Linked DNA regions of Caenorhabditis elegans. The protein of the gene in region 1 purifies or fractionates together with the protein of each later gene. This does not show direct contact. Each region holds a gene or a part of one and is shown in the gene's direction. Other genes may lie near its edges. The genes, in order: mbk-1, ythc-2, dlgr-1 and epc-1.

Region 1 (6,727 bases):
AAGTATGTATCAAGGTATCAAGAGCACGGATTTCTTATGAACTTTAAATTTACAAATGCACTTTCAGTATGGCAGGAGTCCACCAACGGCAGCTGTCAGTAGATTTTTCTTGAGGAACTTCAATCGAATCTCCTATGATATTTTATAGTTTTTTTTTGAGTTTGGAAAGGTTTATTTCTCATGTTTTATATGTTTGAAATGGTTTCATAGAAGACTCAAAATAAAACATTTTATTTTCTGCAAGTGTTTTGTATTGTGTTAGACGTGTTTATACAATTTTGTACTTTAATATAAGTTTACTTAGTTTTTGAGGATACATATTTTAAAACGCAGCTAATTTTTAGAGTTAGAATATTTTATAGACAAACTCAAAGATTTTTTTAAAATGTTTTCAAAATACTATGTTGCTTGGCCACCTGTAATTTTATTATTTGGAAAAAAATATCCCGAGATCGGGCCAGAAAAAACGACAATAAACTGATGCTTATACACCGTAAACACGTGGTGCCAGAGTGTCTCATTTCGGTTCGATCTACGTAGATCTACAAAAAATTCGGGAGTTGAGACGCAGACTTCTCAACTGATTTCGCATGGTTAAGAACGTGCTGACGTCACATTTTTTTGAGCAAAAAATTCCCGCATTTTTTGTAGAACAAACCGTAGTGGGACAGCCTGGCATCACGTGCGTAAAGCGTAAGTTTTATTCAAGTTTTCCCATATAAATAAGTTCTTTCCCAGAGGTAGAATTCGAACATTACTTTTTTTAATGATTTCCACTTCTCAAACTATATGCGTGTTACCATGTGAAATGTTAATTCAAGATTTGTTAAAGGTTTCAGAATAAATTTTCAAAATTACAGCAAAACCCTCAATTATCTCGAAGTGCATTGAAATCTCAACAAAAAGTTCAATTTACGGGGTTCGAAACGCAAATCTTCTTGATTTCTCATGTTAAGTTTTCATTTTTATAAAATAGTTTTTTTTTCAAACCACAATCCTTAAGTTGTGGTCTTATTATCAAATATCACGTGTTATACTTTTTCAATACACCCCTTTTTAAATACATAATCCACCTGGAACTTTTTTTTCTGTAAAATGTAACTCTTTGTGGCAGATGGCGCACCTGCTCGAACCATTTCCAGCTGCAGAACTTTTTGTGTCTTTGTATCGTTCCACCGTTCGTCCCCACTCCGTTCGTCCCCGTTAACCCATGTTCCCCACTCTCTCATCAGTTGTTGAGAGCGCTGCGTGTCGCGTTGCGTGTCCTCGACTCTCTCCGCTCACCACACTCTTTCGAGCCCTCTCATTCACATGTGATCTCTCCTCCGTGTTTCTCTTTGCCTCTCCAATGAATTTTTATCGTTTCATAAATAATTGTAGTGGAACTACTTGTTTTTTTCTTGTAAAATTTAATTTTTTTTTCAAATATTTCAAATATTGCAATTTTCCGTGAATTTTAATCTTTTTCTTGTTATATTCTCTTTTGAATATTAAATTTTTATGTTTTTTTTTTTGATTTACTCTATTCTGCTCGTTCTCTTGAAAATTGTCATAATTAGTTTGAAGATTTTAACAAATTTTCAAAAAATTTCAGGAAAACATGAACACAGCAGACGTGCCTGACAATCTTCAATCATGGGGCCAACAACCATCATCAAGTTACTCAAATACCCAGCAACACTCACAAATGACTAATCTTCCGCCTATCAATCACAATAATCTTTGCGACACCGAACCGATGAACGAGGACTTTCAACTTCAAGACGTGCAAGCTGACGAACTTCAGAAGCAGCAAAAACAGCAAGAGCAGCAACACATTCAACAGCAAAATGCACAACGTTTCATTGCACAAAGCCGTCAACCACATTCCAACATTCTGAGATTCCCACAGCCACCAATCACTTCAATTAAGACGAATTCACACGCTTTCTATCCACAGCAAGAGGTTTGTAGAACGTTTTTTTTTTTGTGTTTGAAAAAATCACATCATTCTAAAATGGAATATTTAAACGCTGCTCACCCCCACATTGCTGTAAATAATTTTCATTTTGAAAAATAACAGATAAATTTCAAATTTGCAAAAATAAACTAATTATAAAATATGATGATATTTGGAAAATATTTCATTTTAATTTCTAAATCTAAAATCTATTTTTGAAAAATAAAGCTTTATGAGCCGTTGCCATTGTTACGTTGATAAAACCGTGATTCAAAAGAATCTGATTTTGAAAAAAAATAACGATTGACTGATTTTTTGTGATTAATAGAAAATTGCCGTTTTCCTGGAAAAAAATGGAAAAAAAATTGGATTCTGAAGATTTTTCGTATCATTTTTGTATCAAAATATGAACTTTTGTATTTGCAAGCTTTCAATGTTATTTTACAGTTTTAATAGTATCATCAACGTTAAGATTTAAATTTGTTTGGCAACAAATCCCATGAGTAGTAGAATTGTTTATTTTAAAGTTTCAAAATCAACTACTTTTACATTTAAAATTAACCTGTTAACTGAAGCCTACTAATTGAACATTACCAAAATTTTTGATTTTTTTTCTCAATTTGAATGGTAGTAATTTATCAAGATTTTAGGTGTTCTGCTATTAATTTTTTTAGTATTTTAGTATTTAACTAATTGCTTATTAGTTCAAAAAACAAAAAAAAAACTAGTTTAATCTGTTCAAATTTCTTATCAGTTACCGACGTGCTTCACATAGTTGCAGCAATCAATTCTAGGTTTTCACATAATTTCCTTCATCGGGTGTTCTTATGCAACAGGGCAGTAATCACTGAAGGGCGAAAGTCGAGCTTTACACTATTCCGTTCTTTTCCCTCTTCTCTCCCATCATTTCCTCTCCCCCTATCTCTTTTCTTTTCTACACACTCAACAAGAAATCAGCATTTGCGTTTGCATTGCGGTGCGGACGTTTTGTCTCTCCTGTTGTTATACTACCGCTCTGCACATTCGTGGCCATGCCCAACCTCAACAACTTTTTCAGTCTCCGAAATGATCACTTTGTCCTTTGATAGTTTTTGCCCCCGCTCCAAATTCTGCAAGCGCTTTTTCAGACTGATCCTAGAGTACCTTCTAATGTTGCAATCTTACAAGTTTCAGGTCACCCAAGTCCGGCCAAAGAAGCATCGCGTATCCATGACTAATGCAGAAGCGGCACTAACTCCCGGAATGCCTCCGGAAAAACAAGCCGCAAAGAAGGTACAGCCTAGATGATTCAACTTCTTGACACATATGTCTCAAAAGTTTCAGAGAAATATTGGCCAGTTCTCGACAGATACTGTTCCGGCTGGAATTGGAATGATTGGTATCCCGTTTGAATGTAAGTTTGGCTAGCTTTTGTGAAAATATTATAAGAATAAAAAATAAAAATAAATTGTACACATTCCAGCTACCTCAAAGCCACTCCAAATTCAACAATTCCGAAATCCTCAAGACGCGCCAGTCAGAAAACTAACCAGTGATCTCATCAAAACTTACAAGGCTATCAATGAGGTAGGCGAAGATGGAAGAGAGTCTTAATACCGCTATAAAAGTTTCAGTCTTTCTACCTACGGAAACAGGTTCGACGTGATCGTCACAAGAGTCAAGATGCCGGAAAGCCAAAGGGATCCAAGGATGGTTCCGGGGCGAGCCTGACTGACACATTCTCCATTCACAATGCGATTCCAATTACGAGTTCTGATAATCATTATCAGCAAGATGCTCATCAAAATGCGTATGTTGTTTTCGTGTGATATTTGAAGAGTTCACTTTTTTTTTTGACTTTCAGTCCTCCTCTACTTGACACTAATGCTCCGCCCACCTCAACAATGGTTGTTCCTATGCGCACAGAGACTGATCTTCAACAGCAGCAGCGACAGAAAAGTAGTCGTGGCGGTCCGTACAATAACGGGTATGACGATCAGAATTACGACTATATTCTTAAAAATGGAGAGATATTTGACAAGAGGTATGCTGAAAGCACGAAACTTATTTGACTAACAGCCTATTTTTCAGATACGTGATTCTCAGTGACACGCCGGTTGGCAAAGGATCTTTCGGGCAAGTTACAAAAGCTTACGACACGCTGAATAAAGAAGAAGTCGCTATTAAAATTATCAAGAATAAGAAGACTTTCTTCGATCAAGCTCAGATTGAGATTCATCTTTTAGAATTGACAAATGCACATGACAAGGATAATAAGTATAATATTGGTAAGTTGCATGACATATTAACATATTCAATGTTGATAGAATCAACTTTTCAAATTTTCAGTTACGCTCAAAGGGCACTTTGTGCATCGGGCTCATCTTTGCTTGGTATTCGAGCTTCTCTCCTACAACCTCTATGATCTTTTGAAGAACACCAGTTTCCGTGGCGTTTCGTTGAATTTGGCACGCAAATTTGCCCAGCAATTAGGAAAAACTCTTCTCTTCCTGTCATCTCCAGAATTATCGATTATCCATTGTGATTTGAAGCCGGAAAATGTGCTACTAGTTAACGCGAAGCGGTCTCAAATTCGTGTGATAGATTTTGGATCTTCTTGTCAGACTGGACACCGAATCTACCAGTACATTCAGTCGAGATTCTATCGTTCGCCGGAAGTGCTGCTCGGCATCGCGTACGACACGAAAATTGATATGTGGTCCCTGGGATGCATTCTCGTCGAAATGCACACCGGAGAGCCGCTGTTTGCCGGGTCATCGGAGGTTGACCAAATGATGAAAATTGTGGAAGTTCTTGGTATGCCACCAAAAGAGATGTTAGACATTGGCCCGAAAACACACAAGTATTTTGACAAAACTGAGGATGGGATCTACTATTGTAAGAAGACTCGTGACGGATACCGCCATACCTACAAAGCTCCTGGAGCCAGGAAACTTCACGAAATTCTGGGTGTGACTTCTGGCGGGCCCGGAGGTCGCCGGCTTGGAGAGCCAGGACATTCTGTTGAAGATTACAGCAAATTCAAAGACTTAATAAAGAGAATGTTGCAATTTGACCCCAAACAAAGAATTTCGCCCTATTATGTGGTTCGGCATCCGTTCTTGAAGCAGAAGGAAGAGCGAGTTCCATCTCAACCGGTGTGTTTTTTTTAATTTAATTTTTAATTTTTATTAAAATTTAAATTTTTTAAATTTTCTTTCAATATTTAATTTTTTAGCCGGTGTCTCACTCGAACCTTCAGCAACAACAGCAATTGTACATACAGCAGCCGTCAAGCCAAATGAGTCAAGTGATGGAATCTCCGTCGGTTGGATCAGTCTATGTGGAAGATAACGGGATGTATCGCCAGGCGCCTGGATCTTCTGCCAACCCAATTTCCGTCACATCATCGTTTGACGAAGGAGATGCCATGGAAGTTGATGCTGGGAGAAGACGCTTCTCTGCTCATCAGCAAAATTACCACAATCCAAACTATCAGTACTCTCAACCACAACAGCAACAGCAGCAGCAGTATCAGCAGACACAGCGGTAAGTACAAGTACAAAGTTTGGTCTCGTGTGAACCTTATGAGATTTTGGACTTTTTGGACAGCTGCTCCTATGACACAAACTCAGAGAAAATAATTGCGTCATCAGGAGACTACCAAAAATTTTGTGGTGTTCGAAATAGACAAGAAATTTTAAAACTAAAGAGAGAAAAATTATATATGTAGAAATTTCTAGAACGCAACTGGAGCAGCAGCAGAAACAGGCTCAACTCCAACAGCAGCTCCAGCAACAGCAAATGCAGCAACAGCAGCAACAGCAACAACAACGCCAGCACATGCCACAAGCGCAGAGCAGTTCCCAACAGCACCTCCAATCACGGGCGCGGCCACGACAACAGGATCAGAACGAGTGGAGGAATCAGTTTGAGCTGGATGACACGTTTCAGCAGAAGCAGCGAAAAGTTGATGACTCTGTATCGAATCAGATTTCTAGAAATCAATTCAATCCACAACAGGTGAGATTTTTTTTTGCAATAAAAAAAATGCGCTGCTGCACCCCCCACCCATCATTCAGAAAATGCCAATTATTGAAAATAAATATTTTAGGTATCGATGACGCATGGAAATGTAAATGCTAACAACCGAGAGATGGAGAAACTCGATTACCCGAACAACAAACTCTGAAGCACACAGAGTCTAATAGCTAATTTTTTTGGAAATTCTGTCAATTTGATGTAATGCTTGTTATTTTTTTTTGTTTCTGTGAACAATATGGAGTTAATAAACACTGGTTCAACTTTAGCATTTTTTTATTACTACTGTTGTATTTTCAATTATAAGTTCTCAATTTATCAATTTAAGAGGGTTTTTTTTTTGGAAGTTTTAATTAAAAATATTGGAAACATTTAAAACAAGCATGAATGACGTGTCAACAGAAAAAAAAACCTGTTCAGATATTTCGTAACTTCTCTATTTGCCAATGAGCTATCCTCAACCCAAGCAGCAGCGGGGCATTCGTCACCGACTGCAAAAAAGTACTACATACTAGAAGTTTTTCGTTCAGAATTTTCTTGCAATTTCTGCCATTTCCCCCACCGCCCGTTTGCCACCAATGTCCATCCATCCATTTCGCAACGCGACCAGGAAGATATTATAAATCTTCGACGCCTTTAGCCAATCCCCCCCCCCCCCGTCATCTCCACAGGAAAACCTGTTTTTGTTCTTCTCAAGTTCCATTCGTTTCTCTGTATTCTCTTCATTTTTCGTCCAATTTCATATAACACACCCTTTCCATCCATGTT
Region 2 (7,577 bases), on another chromosome or scaffold:
TCAATTTCCATCCATTTTTCACAATCTTCATTCAAATTCATATCTGATTGAACTCTTACAGCCAAATTCGATGATCTGAAAATACCGTGAAATAGGGTGAATGAGAGTTTTTCTTAAAAATACTCCAAACCCAAAAAACAAATCCAGAAAATAAAAGTTGGATTTTTTTCGGTTTTGCTCAAAAAATATATATTAAACTTTCAGCGGCAGTCTTGATTTCAAAGCAACAGTCCACCTTTAAATATATATTTGTTTTAATTGAAAATTTCCACTAAATCCGAAAAATACAAAACTCCTCACTCATCATTTCCATCAAAAGGCACATTTGTTTCCGTAAAATCCATTTGTGTAACCTTCTGTGTCATAGTTTCAGAAAGCTCTCTCGATCCGTCATTTTCATAGGATAATGCTGTTTCTTCCGCGATTTTCATCGATTTTCGAATAAATCGTTCTCTGGCACGCTGGAAATTAGATTCTCTATAGATATAATTTCAATAATACTCACCTTCTCAATTACAAGTTGCTGTTCTTCCTCTGTACGTACTCGAAGATATTCATACTTTTGGGAGTCGAGCACAACTTGCGACAACGTTGTATTCTGAAGCTTTGGATTATTTAATGATTGTATTTTGATAATTTGCAAAAGTAGAAGAGTTCAACTGTCTTCAATTAGTTTTTTATGCCTTTTCATTGCATTCTTCACTTCCTATTTCATTTACTAACCGATAGATATGATTCATCATTCATTAAACCATCTTCTGATTTATCACTGTCGAATACATCTCCAGAAGTATTCAAATCCGGTTCGAAAGCATCGGAAATCTTTGGCGTTCTTTTCTTGGTTTCCTCGCCATTGCCCAGTATTCCGTTATAGATAGTTGAAATTCTGAATAATTAATTTTCAAATATAAATCATATTTTTCTTTTTTAAACGAACCCAGGCGTCTTTAATATATCTTTTTCCAGTGAATCTTCAGTCCCTTGACTGAATATTGGAGTGAATACTCCGTCCTGATAAAATTATTTATTTGAAAATTAGGATTTTTTTTTTTCGGAAACTCACTATCATTTTCTGGACAGTGTCGAAGCTTAGATTTTGTGTCAAATTTACGCCGATGTCCTGCGAATCGGGTATTCTTGCATCTGAAAGCAAATTTAATTGAAATCTATATTTCAAGATTTCTAGCTTTTCACCTTTCAAAATATCACTGAGTTGTGAATCATCGGGTTCCATTCTGCGCTACAAATCAAGTAATATTTTTATTTTATTGAGAAACAAGCAGAAAAAATTAAAAACTTAAGTTTAAACTTGCAAGAGAAACAAATAAAGAAGTTCACTTTCAAATTCAAGTGTGTGATACCGTACTCCATGATTTCGTTCCGAGACCCATCTGTGAATGAAACCCGACGTCCTTTAAAAAAGTTTGTTTTAGGCGCCATTTTCATTTGTCGGGATTTCTTTTTTGTCATTGTTTCAGCCTTGATAGATTTTTATCTCGTCGTTTGTCACGTTGTTGTTGCGTCTGAATATTCTCATAAAATTGCAGCATAATGTCAGACGAACCACCTGGATTCTTTCGGGGTGGAGTTGATAGCAAACGTTGTTCTAGAAACGGGTGAGTTCTGTTTGAAAAAAATTAATATTAAAAAAACAAATATTTTTGAAAAATCTTATATTTCAATCATCAAATGACTGTAAACAATTTTCAGGTTTGATGCATCGCGGGTCTTGCCACGAGGTACAGATAATGACACTCGCAAAGAGTATCGACGGGTGGCGAATGAAATCATTCGTTCGTTTCTGAAAAGTGGACAAAAGAACACGACACTTGAACCTATGGGAAGAGATCAGAGAAAGGTGATGCACGAGGTCGCGCTACTCAATGAAATGACAACCAAATCTCATGGAAGAGAGCCAGATCGGTACATGATTCTGTCGAAGAGAGTGAACAGACTATCCAAGTCAACTCTTGTTGCAACTGAGCCAATCACTCCATCCTTCGAGTGTCTTCAGAAGCTGTCGAAGTTTGTCGAAAAGCATCCGATCACCAGAGAAGAAATGGACGAGTTTTTGACAGAGACACAGACAAAACAAATGCACACCACGAAGGGGCATATTAGTGATAGAATGGTGATCCCACCAAAGTCAAAATGCTCAAAAGAGTTACAAAAAGTCAGGTTTGTGAAAACTGTATAAATAGTTACTCCTATAACATTAAAAATTTCAGAAATTCACTGCCAGCTTCCAAATATTGTGACCAAGTGCTGAAATCTATTAGCTCGTGCAATGTGGTTATCATCAGTGGAGGAACTGGATGTGGAAAAACTACACAAGTACCACAATTCATTCTCGATGAAGCGCACGAAAATAATAAACATGTTCGTGTGATGGTCACACAACCTCGTCGTATTGCTGCAATTTCAATTGCTGAACGAGTTGCGAGGGAACGTGGAGAGCCCATTGGACGCACTGTTGGATATCAAGTTAGACTTGATAGCAGGTAATTCACACTTTTCTCTCGATATCACTTTGTTTCAACTTCATTTTTCTTTGCAGACGAAGCGACGATACTGTTCTGACATATTGTACCACTGGTGTTCTTCTAAGAATGCTCACATCTGACCCAGTTGCCTCTGGAATAACGCACATTGTGATGGACGAGATCCACGAACGTGAAATCAACACAGATTATCTTCTAATTGCACTACGTGAATGTCTAAAAATGCGTCCAGATCTCAAAGTCATTCTGATGTCAGCAACGATCGAAGGAAATATGCAATTGTTCTCGAATTATTTTGAAAATCATTCAATGGATGTGATTCGTATTGAATCTCGAGCATTTGATGTGAAAGTTTTCTATTTGGATCAAATTCTTGCAATGACTGGCTATCAACCACCTGAATCGAAAGCCTTCTTCTCTACTGCCGAATATGAAGAAGAGGATTGGAAAGATGAAATTGAAGCTGTTGAAAGGGAAGAGAAGGATAAAGCCAAGCAGAGAGCTGCTGATAGTTCACTTTCCACTTTGTCTAAACCAGTAACAAAGATGGCTGCGAATACAAAAAGGTAGGTTTCTTATTCATGTAGCGACTGACTCTTCTCAAATTTCCAAATTTTAGAAATTCGCCGATTGAAGAACGCGAGTGGACTTCTGGGCCCTGCAGTACACCAGATGGTGATATCATTGACGAGAGAGCAATGCGTCAGTACATGAATATAATAGGGAATCCAGATATTCGTCCTGTGATTACTGTTGAATTTCGTCCAACCACACCTAACTCGGTATTCATCAATGATGTGAAATATACGACGAATCCCAATCAATCAGCACAAGCGTTACTCCAACAGAAGAGAGAAAGATGTTTGATGCCACGTGGTCCACTCACATTTACATGTGAGAATCCAGCTTCAACCACCAAGTCACCACCATCTCCAACTCCTACTCTCGGCATTTCTAGTGGTTTGGCGAAATTTACGCCATTTGGAGGTTTTGGGGTGAGGAATGCAAAAATATGAAACTATTTTGATTTCAAACATTTAAAGAAATTTTGATCTTATATCCAATACTTTTTTTTCAGGAAAAACAACGTATTTCTACTCTTCTTGAGAAAAAGTTCAAAGAAGAATTAAAAACAGCACTTCCGGATCGAACAGTTTATTATCATCCTCAAATGAATGACGTCGTCGATAAAACGGATTTTTCGAAACTTCGTTTCGGAGAGAAATATAATTTGTTCTATGGTTCCTCTTCTAACAATTCAGTCGACTATGTGTTACTTGATCAAGTCATTCAATACCTTGCTGACAGCCCAGTTTTTGGAACGATTCTAGTTTTTCTCCCAGGATACGAGGATATTCAGCAGATGTTGAAAGCGGTTGGTTTATATTGAGCTTCTTATTCAAAAAATTATATTTTTAGATCGATTGTTGGAAGAACAGTCTAAAAAATATGAAGAATGTGATCGTCTTGCCATTACACTCTCAAATGACCAGTATAAATCATGGCGACATTTTCAAGTCTGTTCCAAAGGACACAAGGAAAATTGTAAGACTCCTAACAGGGAGTTTTTATTTCAGTTTGACATGCCAACTTTGAATCAAAAATAATGTTCTACTAAAATCTTTATTATTAATTTTTGAATGAAAACGTTGGCTTGTCATACTGAAAGAAGCATACTTGTTCGACTGCCGATCTCAGACGCAGCACCCAGACTTCTAATGAACATAAACTAAATTATTTCCCACTTTCTAAATATCTTCCCCATTCCAGATTCTCGCCACGAACATTGCTGAAGCCTCAATCACCATCGAAGACGTAATTTTCGTTGTGGACACTGGAAAAGTTAAAGAAAAATCATTTGATCATGAAGCGAAGCTCAGCACACTTACAGTGAAACCAATTGCTCGGAGCAACGCAGATCAGAGATCTGGCAGAGCTGGCCGTGTGGCCAATGGATATTGTATTCGTCTTTATACAGAGCAAGAATACAATTCTATGCCCGAAACACAAATTGCTGAAATGAAAAGAGCGGCGATTTACGACGTCACATTACATGCGAAATTGTTCGCTCCGAAAACATTAAAGATTTCCGAGTTCTTGTCATTGGCGCCAGAACCTCCAGAGAAAGAGTCTATTCTGCAGGCGATCACTTTTCTGGAACAAATTGGAGCATTTTATACTCCAATCAAAATTTACGACAATTCTGGGAATGAAGAAGGCTTGAAAAATGATGAGGAAGCCGAGAACAGCGAAAATCCCGAAGATCCAGAACTGACAGATTTAGGAAGATTAATGGCAAGACTTCCACTTGATCCACAGTTATCACGGATGCTTTTGTTTGGTTTAGCACTCAAATGTCTCACTCCAATTGTCAATTTGGTAGCACTACTTGCGTCCAGAGAACCTTGTAAGTTAACGGAAAATAAACTTTTGTGAATTCTTCTTTTTTTCAGATGTCCTAGCACTGTCCGAAGATCGTGATCTGCAATCCAAAATGAAATTCGAAATGGCACAACAGGATTTATCGGATCATTTGCTGTACATTCGACTATGCAATGAATTCTGCTCTAAAAACAACAGTCAACAGAATCAGTTTTGTCGTGATCATTTTCTCAACTTTTCCACTATGAGGATGGTTCAAGGAACGCGACGGCAATTGCTTCGAGAACTCGTACGAGCCAAATTAATTAATATATCTCCTAATAGGGACGTGTTAACTGTTTTAACTGATCACCATTTCAATCAGTTTTCTCAATGTTGGCCAATGATACAGGCAGTTATTGCGGCTGGATGCTATCCATTTATTGGTGTTTCTGCGTCCGAATCAAACTTGAAAAAAGTGCAGACTTTGTGAGTGTTTTTGAAGGTTTTTCAGACTTTTGTAAAAAAAAACGATTTCTTTGACGATTATTAAAAAATTTAGCAATCACTTTAAAAGTGGAGTTCTCAAATTTGAAACTTTTCGGTACTCAACCTTTAATTAATCAAAGGTTTTCAGTAACTCTACACGGTAGACCATTAATTTAATAACAATTTTTTTGCAACGACAAGATTTTTCAGCAACGACAAGCCAGCATTTTTGCACCCGTCGTCGATGGTAAAGAAGCAAATCGTTAAAATGGGGAAAAGTGAGAAAAGTCCTCGTGTCGAATATGTCGCTTTTCAAGAAATGTGTCAGATGCCATCCGATAGATCACTTTCCATGAAAACTGTCACTGTCATTCCATCGATGACTGCCTTGTTGTTCACTGGTCCAATAAGGCTTGACGAGAGAACGATTGAGGATAATAATATCAGTAAGTAGATATCTGGAATAATATTTAATTATAATAATTATTTTCAGTCTTCGAAGAAGGTGAAGATATTTCCGTTGAAGATAAACCATTGCCATGGGGTGCAAGTCTTTCCCTTTTGAAGCTTGACGAGTGGTACAATGTGAGATCTGTAAAGAAGGTATTTATAATGTTATGTTAGTATTAGAAATCTATAAAACTTTCAGAATCTTTGCCATTTTCTACGTCTTCGTCACAAATTTATGCACTTTTTCGTGAAAGGAATATCTGATCCTGATACATTCGGAAAACAAACTTCGCTTGCAGATTTAGTGAGTTTGGCGATAAATTAACATAATTTATTATTCGATCTTTCAGGAAATGTTGGAATTGATTCGTTACGTATTGGAATCTGAAAATAAACGCTACAACTTTGCACCTGTGGTCATGCCCCATTTAAATCTGAAATTCTACTCAAACTCCGAGAATCCGTATGCGAGCATTGTGAGGAATGATAATAATCGTAGAAATCACTCGGATCCCAATCAAAAGTCAACAGAACGAGAATCAAGAAAACCTAAAGAGGCTGTCTCACATGGAAATTCAAGAAAACAGTCTAAACCACCAAAAAATCATCAAACGAAGACAACATCCAACTTTCCGTCTCACAATTTTCCACCTCCGGATTTAATGCGAAATAGTCATTACAATCAAAATATGAGCACATCGCATCAATCGTCAAGTAGTAACAATCATCATTATAGCCATAATTATAGTTATCCACATTATAACATCCAACTGCCACAGAATCAGTACCAATCGTGGACTCCGCAATTTGATTTTCATTCGATGAATACAAGTTATGGAGAACATGGTCACAATGGTAATCATCAATATATGGAGTCGTCTGGAATTCATGGTCACATCCCATATCAAGGGGGAAATTTCAACACAAGAGGTGTTAGCAGAGGAGGATTTTCCTATACAAGTGTGAGTAAGAGGCAGGGCTTTTTTTTTGGTTTAAAGGGAAAAGTGTTCACACTGTAGATTTCGGTTCCTAATTTGAAAAAAAAAATTATGTCTAAATAATATACAAGTTTATCTTTCATTGTTCCAATTTAGGGTAATCAATTTCGTGGACGTGGCCTATCGCGCAAATTGTATGAGCACAATCCTCGCAACGAGTAACCGGTAGTTAAATGTTTTCCGGTTTGTTTTTTTTTCTGAAATCGTTATAAACTTGCCATTTTTGTTTCATTTTCAATTTGTACTCCAAAATGGATAATTTAGCTGATCATTCTAGAGTATTCCTGCTTTATGAATCTTCTCTTTATCTTTTTTCTTTGTATTCGTTGATTTCCATGTTTTCTAAATTATATCCCTTTTTTATTCGTAATAAAGAATTCTCATTGTTGATTCATAATTCACTTTGTATAATTTTCCCAGTTTACTTCTGATTTTCTATTTTAAATAATTGACAACCTCTTTCTAATATTTTTTTGTATATTTAGATGGACAATGAAAAAAAGTCTATGTACGAACCTGGTGTAATCTTAGGAGGATGCACTTTGAGAAGACAATTAAATGATTCGGGGGAAGCGATGGTATTTTTGGCAGAATCGGGCAATGAAGAGAAGAAGGAGGTAAATAAATATATAATTTTATTTATTTTTTCACTACAAAAAATTAGTGCGGCAATTTCAAAATTTGTAACCTTCGCACGTGTTCGAAAACTAAATTTGGTGTCTTTTGGGAGACGATTATTAAAGAAAAAATGAACAAAATTTGAAATTCCCGCATAATT
Region 3 (4,636 bases), on another chromosome or scaffold:
AGAAGAGAGGAAAGAAAACTACTACAAGGATTCCACCAGATATGGCATCAAGCATCAAATCTACAAGAAGAGCTGCTGCTTCGGACGCTCTGAAACAGATCAGAAATACCTCGGAAGGAGGTAGATTTGCGAATAATAAGAAGAAGAAGGTGAAGGATCCAAATGCAGATATGTCTGGAGTCTTTGGACCAATGACAAAGCTCTGTTATATCAGCACAGAGCTTCAACAAGTCACCAAAGATCAGTGGATGAAGCGTTGCGATGTGGTGAAGGCTCTCTGGGATTATATTAAGGAAAATAATCTGAAGGATCCAAAAAACGGACAATACATTATCTGTGATAGCACACTTGAGTCGATCTTCAAGAAGAATCGTCTGAAGGGATTCGGAATGGTAAAATTCTTGACAAGACACATCATTGGAACCAGTGATATGGCACCGGAAATGAGAGAAGAGGCTGAAGCCGAAATGGATAAGCGTAGAAAAGAGTGGAAGGTGAGGACAATATTTGAGCAAAAATCGCCTGAAAATTTGAATTTCTTCAGAGTAACAACGGAAAACCAATTTAAAATTTTGATTGCAGCTGATTTTTCTAAATTAGATGTGATATAATCTTCTAAAAAAGATTAAATTTTGTTTAAAAACTATAAAAAAATTAGAATTCGAGGTTTTTAGACGATAGTATCACAATTCGAAGACATTTCCTTTTCGTTAAAATAAATTCAGAAAAAACACAGCAGAATCTCCCTGATAAAATTGTATAAACTTATTGGAAAAAAATGCCGAAAATGACGGAAAATTCGATAAAATAACGTTTTCTAGATTTTTTAATTTTAAAATTACACATAAAAAGGAGAAAATTGGTATTTTTCCAAATTTTGATAATTTTTAAAAGATGTTTTATAAATATTCAATTCTAAAAAAATCAAAAATTTCAGGAAAGACAAGCAAAAAAGCGTGAAGCCGACCTGGACGCCAACGGAGTTGCAGATGATGAGCCAGAGCCCAAAAAACCAAAAAAGGAGGAGGTGGAAGATGATGAAGATGAGAAAAAGGCCGGTAGCAGCTCTTCAGATGATGAAGATAGCGATTAATTTATCGTTAATTTCCTCATTTTTGTTATAATTATCTCCTACACTCAGCTATACACACAAAATCTCCCCCATTCCACGTTTTTTCTCCGCATTTTTCGGCAATAAACTGCCGAAATTCCAGGGCCCAATTTCAAATTCAAATTTTAAATGCAAAAATGAATTTTCCCCTTTCCCCAAACTTCTTTCAATTTTCTCCCCTTCAAATGTGTACATTTCCTTGAACTTTTCCTCCACTGAGCTCTCTGTCATTATTGCTTTCTCATACTTTTTACTATTATATTTAATATATATTATACATATATCTCCTTCATTCCACCATCGCCCACCGCATATTGTTTTTCTGGGTGGGTTTTGAGAAGAGAAACATGGTAATAAAACATTTTTTATTCTCCAATTCCTCTCTCTTTTTTGCTCCAATTCTTTTCGGCTCTCTTCTTGTTTCTTTGCGAGAATCTATACTATTTTTGATTCATTTTTTTCTTTTAAAATTTCCATACTAACACACTTTTTTTAGCGATGCCGGAGCGAGAAGCTAGGAGTAAACCGAAAAAGTCTGTGATCGGCACGTTTTTAGGTCGACTCGGCCGGAGCAAAAGCCGCGGAGCATCCGATGTGGAGAGGAAGAAAGAGTAAGTGAGAAACTGCTTAAAGTTGTACTAAAAATGAGAGGTTCAGTCAGAAAAAAACCATTTTTAACATACAAAGTGTGTTTTCTATTTGACTGAAAAATATTTGAATTTTTGAGACTTATCGACGAAAAATTGATTTTAGCTTCCAAATTATTTCAGAAATCAGTCAGATGCCCCACCAAATGTCGTGGTTCCGGCTTCAAAAAGCGATGGAAATATCAAAAGCAGCAGCAACCGTCGGAGCTCAGAAACATCACATCGAGGTAATTCTGAACTGAATCCCGTTCGAAAAATTTGGTAAAAGTTTCAGAAGCGGCCGCTGGATTTTTAGTGGAAGAAGCTCGGATGTCGCCGGCTCGACGGCTTCTCAATCGATTTTCGACGCTCCGTGCTACAGGAAGATTTAGGGTATCGAAACAACAACAAAAACCCCCTAACTATGTACATATCGCCATAGCAAATTGAAACAATTTGAAAATTATTTATCCCACGCGACACCAAAACCTACATCTTTCACTCCAAATTCTTCTTTTAATTTATACAAAAAATTCAATTATTACTTTCGAAATGTCAAGTTGCTCCTCTTTACAGTCATCATCGTCACGTGGTGCTTCGACAGACAGTCTCAATACGACAAGCAATGGATTTTCGGGTTAGTTTTTCTGTAGGAAAAGCTTCCAGTGTCCAGGGAATTTGCATTCCCCGATTCCGTAGTGTCTCCTCCATGCATTTCAAAACAGCAATCACATAACATTTCAGATGGTGGCTCCAATCTTCTCCCACCAAAACCCAACCGAATCGGATGCGCCGCCACTGGAGCCCAATCGGAGACCGATCTGCGTTTCGTAACATCCCGCGATACACACGTGAGCAACAGCTGCACCACCGATTGGAGCACACATTTATATTCCTTTTTTTTTCATTTTTTTAGAGCTCTATTCCACTCAACGAGCCATTTGGATTTGGCGAGAAATCGCCGCGAGCCTTTATGTCGGAAAATGATTTATCCGCTGGAGCCGCCGGAGCATCGACAGATTTTCCCGAAGTTACAAGAACACCGAGCTATTTGAGAATATCATGTGCATTGAATGGTTATACAAAGTTGGTTTTTCTTTTTTGAAAAGCATTTTTAATTCGATTTTTTTCATTTTCAGATCACCGAACAAGTCGGATCTCACACCAATAGCTCCTCATCCACCTGTATCAACAATGGGTGAAAGTTTTGTTGAAAGGTATAAGTTTTTTAGAATTTTTCTTCATAGGAAAATCCCAAAAGTAATTTTTTCGGAATAATTAAAAAGTTACTTTTAATCTTCAAAATGAAAAAAAAAACTTTAATTAATATTTTCAAAATATGAATATTAACGTGATTTTAATTTGTAAAGGAAATCAAAATTAAAAAAAGGTCGTTCATACCCCGACACAAAATTTAAGTTAATTAAACTGCTGGCCGAGCGATAATTGGGTCCTTTTGTGTGCTGATGTTGCCTTTTCATGGTGCAATATTCTCATCTCATAGTGTTTCTAATAGAATAATTATTCACTTTTACACAACAATTTACAGACGTTCAAGAATGTTCTCACAGCCACAGCAACGCAATCCTGCACCCGGTTTCTCGAGTCCTTTGCCACCGACGACAGTGTCAAGCCAATCGGCGAGCTCCGAAATTGAATGGTCAGTGGAGAAATTCTGAAGATATCTGAAAATCTGAAAAAAATTGTCGCCTAAGTTGTTCCAAATCGGCGGAGCTAACCAATAAAGGGGTGGGCCTTCAATTTCGGAATTTTAATGTTTTCCTATAATCTCTAGAAAACGTAGGCGAGATTTTCCAATTTTTGTTTCTTTCTATTCCTCCTCTTGAAAAACTGCGAAAAGTGGGCGTGTCATTCTTAGGCCACGCCCACTAATAAGGCGTTTCTTTTTTCGGCACATTTTCCGGATTTTCCAAATTTTTTTTCCGCTCGAAATTTTCGAATGAAAACTTAATAGTAGGCGTGGTTTCGTAGACCACGACCAAAAAATGGAAAGAATTAGCTTCTCGACCACATTTTCAATAGCTGAAAATGAGGCGGGACTTCTTGACGACGTCCATTTTTAGGGCGTGGTTATCTTTCATTCTGAGTTTCTCTTATCTGAAGAATACTATATGAATTGTCGTCCAATTGTTGTACATTTTTTCGGCGTTTTCTCACTGGTGACAGCTGGCGGCGTTCAATTACCGCACGCCCAGAAGAGTATACTATTGAGTATCGGTATCAGTATCACAAAAGTGTAATTTGATAAGCAGTATCGGAAGAGAGAACGGGGGAATTTGGGTGTGGTGGGGCACGTCCGATCGACAGACAAACCGACAACGGATGACAGATTGTTTGGTGTAGCACAGTGAGTGCGCGAACACCCATCCGTTCACCACCAGAAGATGAAGCGAACAGCAGAATGAAGGCGGGTGTGAGGGCCATACATATTACCCGCCGGTTGACTGCTTCCCCTTGGCACCCATAGCAGTAGCTTTCCTTTTTATATTTCTTCTTTTTCCATTTTTTTGTTGTATACTTTTTGAATCGCTTGCGTCCTTCCAAATAGGTGTGAATGGGGATAATTGTTGGAAGCCAGAAGACTTTTTTAGCGAGGAAACTGGTTTTTATGCCCTCTTCTTCGAGGATTAAGGCGGAAAATTCGACGCCTCTGGGAGAATTAGAAGGTTTACAACTATTTGATCGAGTTTTTTCCTATGTTGGTAATTCGTGTCTCACATCAGCAGTAGCTCAACATCAGCAGCAGTCAATACCATATCCGATTTCCTCGTTGGTTTTTCTTCTATTCTTTGCTTCTTCATTTTGTTTCTCGAGAGCCCATGGACCATGTGTCACTCTAATTATTCATCGCTTTCTTCTTCTTCTCGACAACATGGCT
Region 4 (4,878 bases), on another chromosome or scaffold:
TTTAGAGAAAAAGTCAAAATAATTGCAAATTTTCGATTAAAAAACACGCTTACAGGCGTAAAAATGAAAAAGTAACGCTTTTAAACGATTTCAAACATGAATTAATTAATTTCTCTGATTTACGCCTGTCAGCGTGCTTTTTAATCGAATATTTGCATTTATTTTGACTTTTTCTTTAAAATTCAAGCAAAAATACACCGAAAACATTAAAAATCGATAAAAAATAACAAAAAATAAAATAAATAAATTTAAAAACGTGCAAGCGCGCTCCACCGAACAAATCCAATTGGCGGAAATTAAAAAATAATTAGGTGAAAACTGTGATTCTTCCATTTTTCAAAAAATCATATAAAATCTAGAAAAAATTTTGGAATTTTTTTAATCATGATATTCGGTCATTGTGGTACCATATGCGTGTTTTAAAGCAATTTCCCCACAGAGCGTAGTGGAATACAACGGTGGGTGTTCTACCAACCTCCGCGCGAACTTTCTTCGTCGCCATCTCAGAGATCATGATTTTCCCGCTCAAATCGCCGGTAGCCAGCAAAGTTTCGCTATGATTGAACATCACTTGAGTGACAGAATCCTTGTGCTCCACCTTAAGCACTGGCTCGGATTCGGATTGGTTTTGATCGAAAAGGAAAGCCACATCGTCTTCTCCACCGGTCGCGAGCCAACGATTTGAAGCCAGAGCCACTGTGAAACAGTCTTGAGCGTGTGCCTGGAGAGACATTAGAGAATCATCGATGATTTCTGCAGGAACGTCGGCGCTGGAAAATGGGCGATTTTAATGGCAAAAACCGAATTTTTGTGTAAAAATTCAATGAAAAATCGTTATTTTCTCGATCTAAACCATACTTCGAAGTACTTTGCTGATCCTCGTCGTCACTAGCGTACTTCATCTCGGCATCATCGTCGATTTCGATGATCTGTAAAAATTTTTAATTTTTCTTTTTTCAATTTTTGTTGAAAAATTGAATTTTTTTCAAAAAAAAAAAATTACCTCGTCAATTTCACTCTCCTCGATGCGATGATTATCCTCGTCCATTTTACCTGAAAAGTGTGATTTTTTCACGAATAAAATTATTTTCAGATACTTCTAGAAAAAAAAAACTGAACGGAATGTTACGAAATTAATTTTCAAAGTTGCGAAACTGAATTTTCGACAAAAAGTTTCACTGATATTCATTTCAAGCATATTGCAACGTTTTTAAATTAATTTCTAAGAGAAAAAACTGCAAAACAATTCGAAAATAATTTTTACAAGTTACTTTTCGAAAAAGTAACAAAAATCCACTAATGAACAAGAAATTTTTGAACAAAAAGAGCTTCTCAGGCTATTTTTGGACGAATATTTTAATAAAACTTTAAAAAAATCAACGAAAATCCCCTAAAAATCGCTGAAAATTCCAAAAATTAAAGTTCATTCTCGACCACACCTCTCGTAAATCAGCACGAGACTCACGCAACGCGACCGCGCCGCACTCAACGGCATTGAGTAATGCGGAGCGGCAGCGTCGCGTCGTCTATTTGTGTGTGTGTGCGATTGTGTGTGGTGCGACGTGGCCGCTCTGTGTGCCTCTCTAGTGAGTGTTTTCCGACGAGAGACAACACATTTTCGAGAGACGAAGAGAGTGGCGACGAGGAAGATAGTGTGGTAAGAGGAGAGTGTGCGCGAGGGAAAGAGAGCAAAGTGTGAGTGTCTGTGAGAAGAGAAGGAGACCCCCCCCCCCCCGCGCTCAACCAGTCGATAGTTGGCCTGAGTGTAGGGCCTTCTGTTGTATTCCACTGCTAACCCCCCCCAAACACACAAAAAGACTCAAAAAGTACTGCTTAAAACACAGTGCTCAGCTCATTTCATTTTTGATTTTTATGCTCGCCGTCATCGGCGGATGAATTCATCGCAAAGTCCGTGGCGATTCAACACGTGCGGCGTCCTCGCCGCTCTTCTTAACCGTAGTTACAACGTGGGAGTACAGAAAGATGGCCACTACTTCGAAGGCGTTTCGAGCCCGGGCGCTCGACTCGAACCGGTCTATGACTGTATACTGGGGCCACGAACTTCCGGACCTATCAGAATGCAGTGTTGGAAACCGGGCGGTGACACAAATGCCGTCTGGCATGGAAAAAGAAGAAGAACAGGTTGGTTTTTGGTGGATTATGGATTACTGCTCCATTTTGAAATTTTTCGAGTTTTAATGTCTTTTTTCGAATTCCTGGTGCTTTTTTCTATCCGAATCATGTTTTAATTCCGTTTTCCGACTACTTTGAAGAATTTTCAAATTTTTGATCCCTGATGACGTCACTATTTTTGTCTTTGCCTTTCTGGATCGCTTTTATAGTTATTTTCATTTTTTATTTCTTTTTTACACTTTTAAACTTAACAATTCTCTTAATTCATCCTATTCTATTTAATTTTAAGTTTTGATTTTTGATTTTTGATTTTTCTCTTTTCTCTTTTAGCCGCCGGTGGGCCTTTATTACAACTCTTAAATCATAAAAAAAATCAGTTTAAGCAGTTATACATAACTCTTATTATGAAAAAATCGTTATTTTTCGACGGAAACTTCATACTTTGAATTTATTTCCAATTTAGATTTTATTTTCTCAAAGTCAGCTCAATTAACTAACTTAAAATGTTTTGTCCTACCCGCAAAATGTTTTTTTTTAATATTTTAATTCTATTTTAATTTTTGGCTTTAAAAAATCATTTTGCTAAGCCTGAGATGAAGGCGAAATCTCGAGAAAAAGCATTTAAAAAGTAATAAATTCCGTTAAAAACGACTTTTTCTATCACAGAAAGTGTTCTCTGAGTGCTAACAACCTTCTTCTGTCCAAATTTTGACACAATTTCCCAATTATGCCGACTTATTACACCTTTTTCCGTCAATCTTCTAGTTTTTCCCACCCTCTTGACCCCTGGTGACGTCATTTGTTTGTTCTTCTTCCAAGACATGCCCTGTGGGGTATTTTTTCTCAAAATTTTTGCAAATTTATTGGATTCTAAATAAAATTCCAGGAGTCTAGCACCAGGAATAATAATGCAAATTTGAAAAAAAAATTAAACAGAAATAATGATTTTAAATGATTATTTAAATTTTAAATTTTAAATTTCCAGGAAAAACACCTGCAAGAAGCGATTGCTGCCCAGCAAGCCAGTACATCGGGTATTCAGCTGAACCATGTCATTCCAACTCCAAAAGTCGACCGAGTCGAAGATCAACGCTATCACTCCACTTATCACAACAAGAATAAAATGCACCGTTCAAAGTATATCAAAGTTCATGGTGAGTTTTTTTAACCAAAATTTCGGCGAAAATAATTTAATTTCCGGTTTTTTGAAATTAATTTCCGCTTGGGTTTTCTTGTATTTATTATTTTTTCAAATTCCTCTCTGAATTCGAAAGAAAATAACTTGATTTTTCAGACTTCCTGGCTAAAACCTTCAAAAATGTTTGTTGATTGGTTCCAAATTTTCGCCTGATTCCGAATTTCGATGTGACAAATTCAAAAAAAAATTCCCTGATTTTATATTCAAGCTTTGTGTTTGTGTGTTCTTTTTGGAGCGCGCTTGCATCGTTTGATTTTCTTCGTCTTTTTTAAAATTTATTTTCGCTTGTTTCATTCATTTTTGTCGAGTTTTTTTCTGCCAAAATGAATGAAACTGGTTTAAAAAATTGAATTCGGCGAAAATAAATTTTGAAAAACGAAACAAATCAAACGATGCAAGCGCGCTCCAATGCGATTTTTTTGGGCGCGGAAATTCGTGATTTCAAGCTTAAATATAAAATCAGGTATATTTTTTCGACTTTTTTCACGTTGAAATTCGGAATCAGAGGAAAATTTTGAGTCAATCAAAAATATTTCCCAGATTTCGGTATCTTTAATGCATCAAAAATGAACTTTCACCCCCATACTCCCAGAAAAATAAGAAAACAAATTGCGAAATATTGTTCCCTGATCAAATTTTTTCTTTTTTTAACTACACTTCTCTGTTTTGAAGTGAGAAAGTACATTTTTCTGCGTTTCTTATCAGTTATCATTTGAAAAGGATCAGAATTTGATGACGATATATTTGTTTAGTTACCTCCCTTTTTTCTGAACAGTTTTTGCGAAAAAAGGAGAAAAACCGGAATTTTCTATGAAAATGTGATTTATTTTCAGCCTGGCAAGCACTCGAACGAGACGAACCCGAGTATGACTACGACACAGAAGATGAAGCATGGCTATCAGATCACACTCACATTGACCCGCGCGTTTTGGAAAAGATATTCGACACAGTGGAGAGCCATTCATCGGAGACACAGATCGCGAGCGAAGATTCGGTGATTAATTTGCATAAATGTAAGTTGACGAAATTTCCATTGAAACCCCCCCCCCCCAAAAATATCGTTTAATTGCAGCACTGGACTCATCAATCGTGTACGAAATATACGAATATTGGCTGTCGAAGCGAACATCGGCTGCGACGACGTCTGGTTGTGTTGGAGTCGGTGGATTAATTCCGAGAGTCAGGACAGAATGTCGGAAGGTAAGAATTTGACTATTTTGAACGAATTTCGTGATGAAACTTCTCTAAAACTTTTAAAGTTTTTTATGGCGGTTCAAAATTTCGGAAAATTTACACTGATTTTAGCTAAAAACTTGAATTTTGGTCATTTGTCCGTGTCACATCTGTCCGAAATCGACTTTTTTTGGAATTATCATCCTTTATTGCACATTTGGCTAGTTTATCTCATTTAATTTCGTTGATTACTAAGGTACATTTAAAGCCAATAGGTAACCAACCAAAAACTATCATAATTTTTCTACACTTTTTAATTTTCCGACACTACTTGAATAACCCCATAAGTGACCAATTTTGATAGTTTTTGGCTG

What was found.
Region 2: the proteins of mbk-1 (region 1) and ythc-2 purify together in Caenorhabditis elegans (affinity purification with mass spectrometry, with the first as the bait; one large-scale study listed by BioGRID). This does not show direct contact.
Region 3: the proteins of mbk-1 (region 1) and dlgr-1 purify together in Caenorhabditis elegans (affinity purification with mass spectrometry, with the first as the bait; one large-scale study listed by BioGRID). This does not show direct contact.
Region 4: the proteins of mbk-1 (region 1) and epc-1 purify together in Caenorhabditis elegans (affinity purification with mass spectrometry, with the first as the bait; one large-scale study listed by BioGRID). This does not show direct contact.

Annotation. Positions count from the first base shown.
Region 1 is NC_003284.9:14,819,408-14,826,134, reverse strand, and holds mbk-1 (Dual specificity tyrosine-phosphorylation-regulated kinase mbk-1), read left to right. Parts: upstream 1-1,594; 5' UTR 1,595-1,600; coding exon 1,601-1,945; intron 1,946-3,112; coding exon 3,113-3,211; intron 3,212-3,262; coding exon 3,263-3,332; intron 3,333-3,401; coding exon 3,402-3,505; intron 3,506-3,552; coding exon 3,553-3,728; intron 3,729-3,782; coding exon 3,783-3,962; intron 3,963-4,009; coding exon 4,010-4,206; intron 4,207-4,267; coding exon 4,268-5,076; intron 5,077-5,156; coding exon 5,157-5,467; intron 5,468-5,661; coding exon 5,662-5,941; intron 5,942-6,032; coding exon 6,033-6,110; 3' UTR 6,111-6,226; downstream 6,227-6,727. UniProt on the Caenorhabditis elegans protein: Possible role in the function of olfactory neurons.
Region 2 is NC_003279.8:8,317,958-8,325,534, reverse strand, and holds ythc-2 (putative ATP-dependent RNA helicase spindle-E), read left to right. Parts: upstream 1-1,547; 5' UTR 1,548-1,551; coding exon 1,552-1,616; intron 1,617-1,710; coding exon 1,711-2,178; intron 2,179-2,228; coding exon 2,229-2,501; intron 2,502-2,557; coding exon 2,558-3,067; intron 3,068-3,120; coding exon 3,121-3,496; intron 3,497-3,579; coding exon 3,580-3,876; intron 3,877-3,920; coding exon 3,921-4,046; intron 4,047-4,271; coding exon 4,272-4,908; intron 4,909-4,954; coding exon 4,955-5,351; intron 5,352-5,561; coding exon 5,562-5,797; intron 5,798-5,844; coding exon 5,845-5,954; intron 5,955-6,000; coding exon 6,001-6,105; intron 6,106-6,151; coding exon 6,152-6,763; intron 6,764-6,895; coding exon 6,896-6,961; 3' UTR 6,962-7,188; downstream 7,189-7,577. Other genes in the region: Transcription factor cep-1, read right to left, coding at 1-75, 301-461, 506-598, 724-886, 938-1,011, 1,064-1,143, 1,195-1,234; F52B5.2 (Protein kinase domain-containing protein), read left to right, coding at 7,285-7,416.
Region 3 is NC_003281.10:5,437,606-5,442,241, reverse strand, and holds the start of dlgr-1 (Protein kinase domain-containing protein), read left to right. Parts: upstream 1-1,607; 5' UTR 1,608-1,609; coding exon 1,610-1,722; intron 1,723-1,881; coding exon 1,882-1,985; intron 1,986-2,026; coding exon 2,027-2,130; intron 2,131-2,313; coding exon 2,314-2,374; intron 2,375-2,481; coding exon 2,482-2,588; intron 2,589-2,653; coding exon 2,654-2,823; intron 2,824-2,876; coding exon 2,877-2,954; intron 2,955-3,286; coding exon 3,287-3,397; intron 3,398-4,636. Other genes in the region: T24G10.2 (DM2 domain-containing protein), read left to right, coding at 1-494, 938-1,093.
Region 4 is NC_003281.10:12,605,464-12,610,341, reverse strand, and holds the start of epc-1 (Enhancer of polycomb-like protein), read left to right. Parts: upstream 1-1,874; 5' UTR 1,875-1,983; coding exon 1,984-2,142; intron 2,143-3,118; coding exon 3,119-3,287; intron 3,288-4,164; coding exon 4,165-4,344; intron 4,345-4,403; coding exon 4,404-4,531; intron 4,532-4,878. Other genes in the region: Y111B2A.12 (WD_REPEATS_REGION domain-containing protein), read right to left, coding at 476-770, 859-929, 1,004-1,048.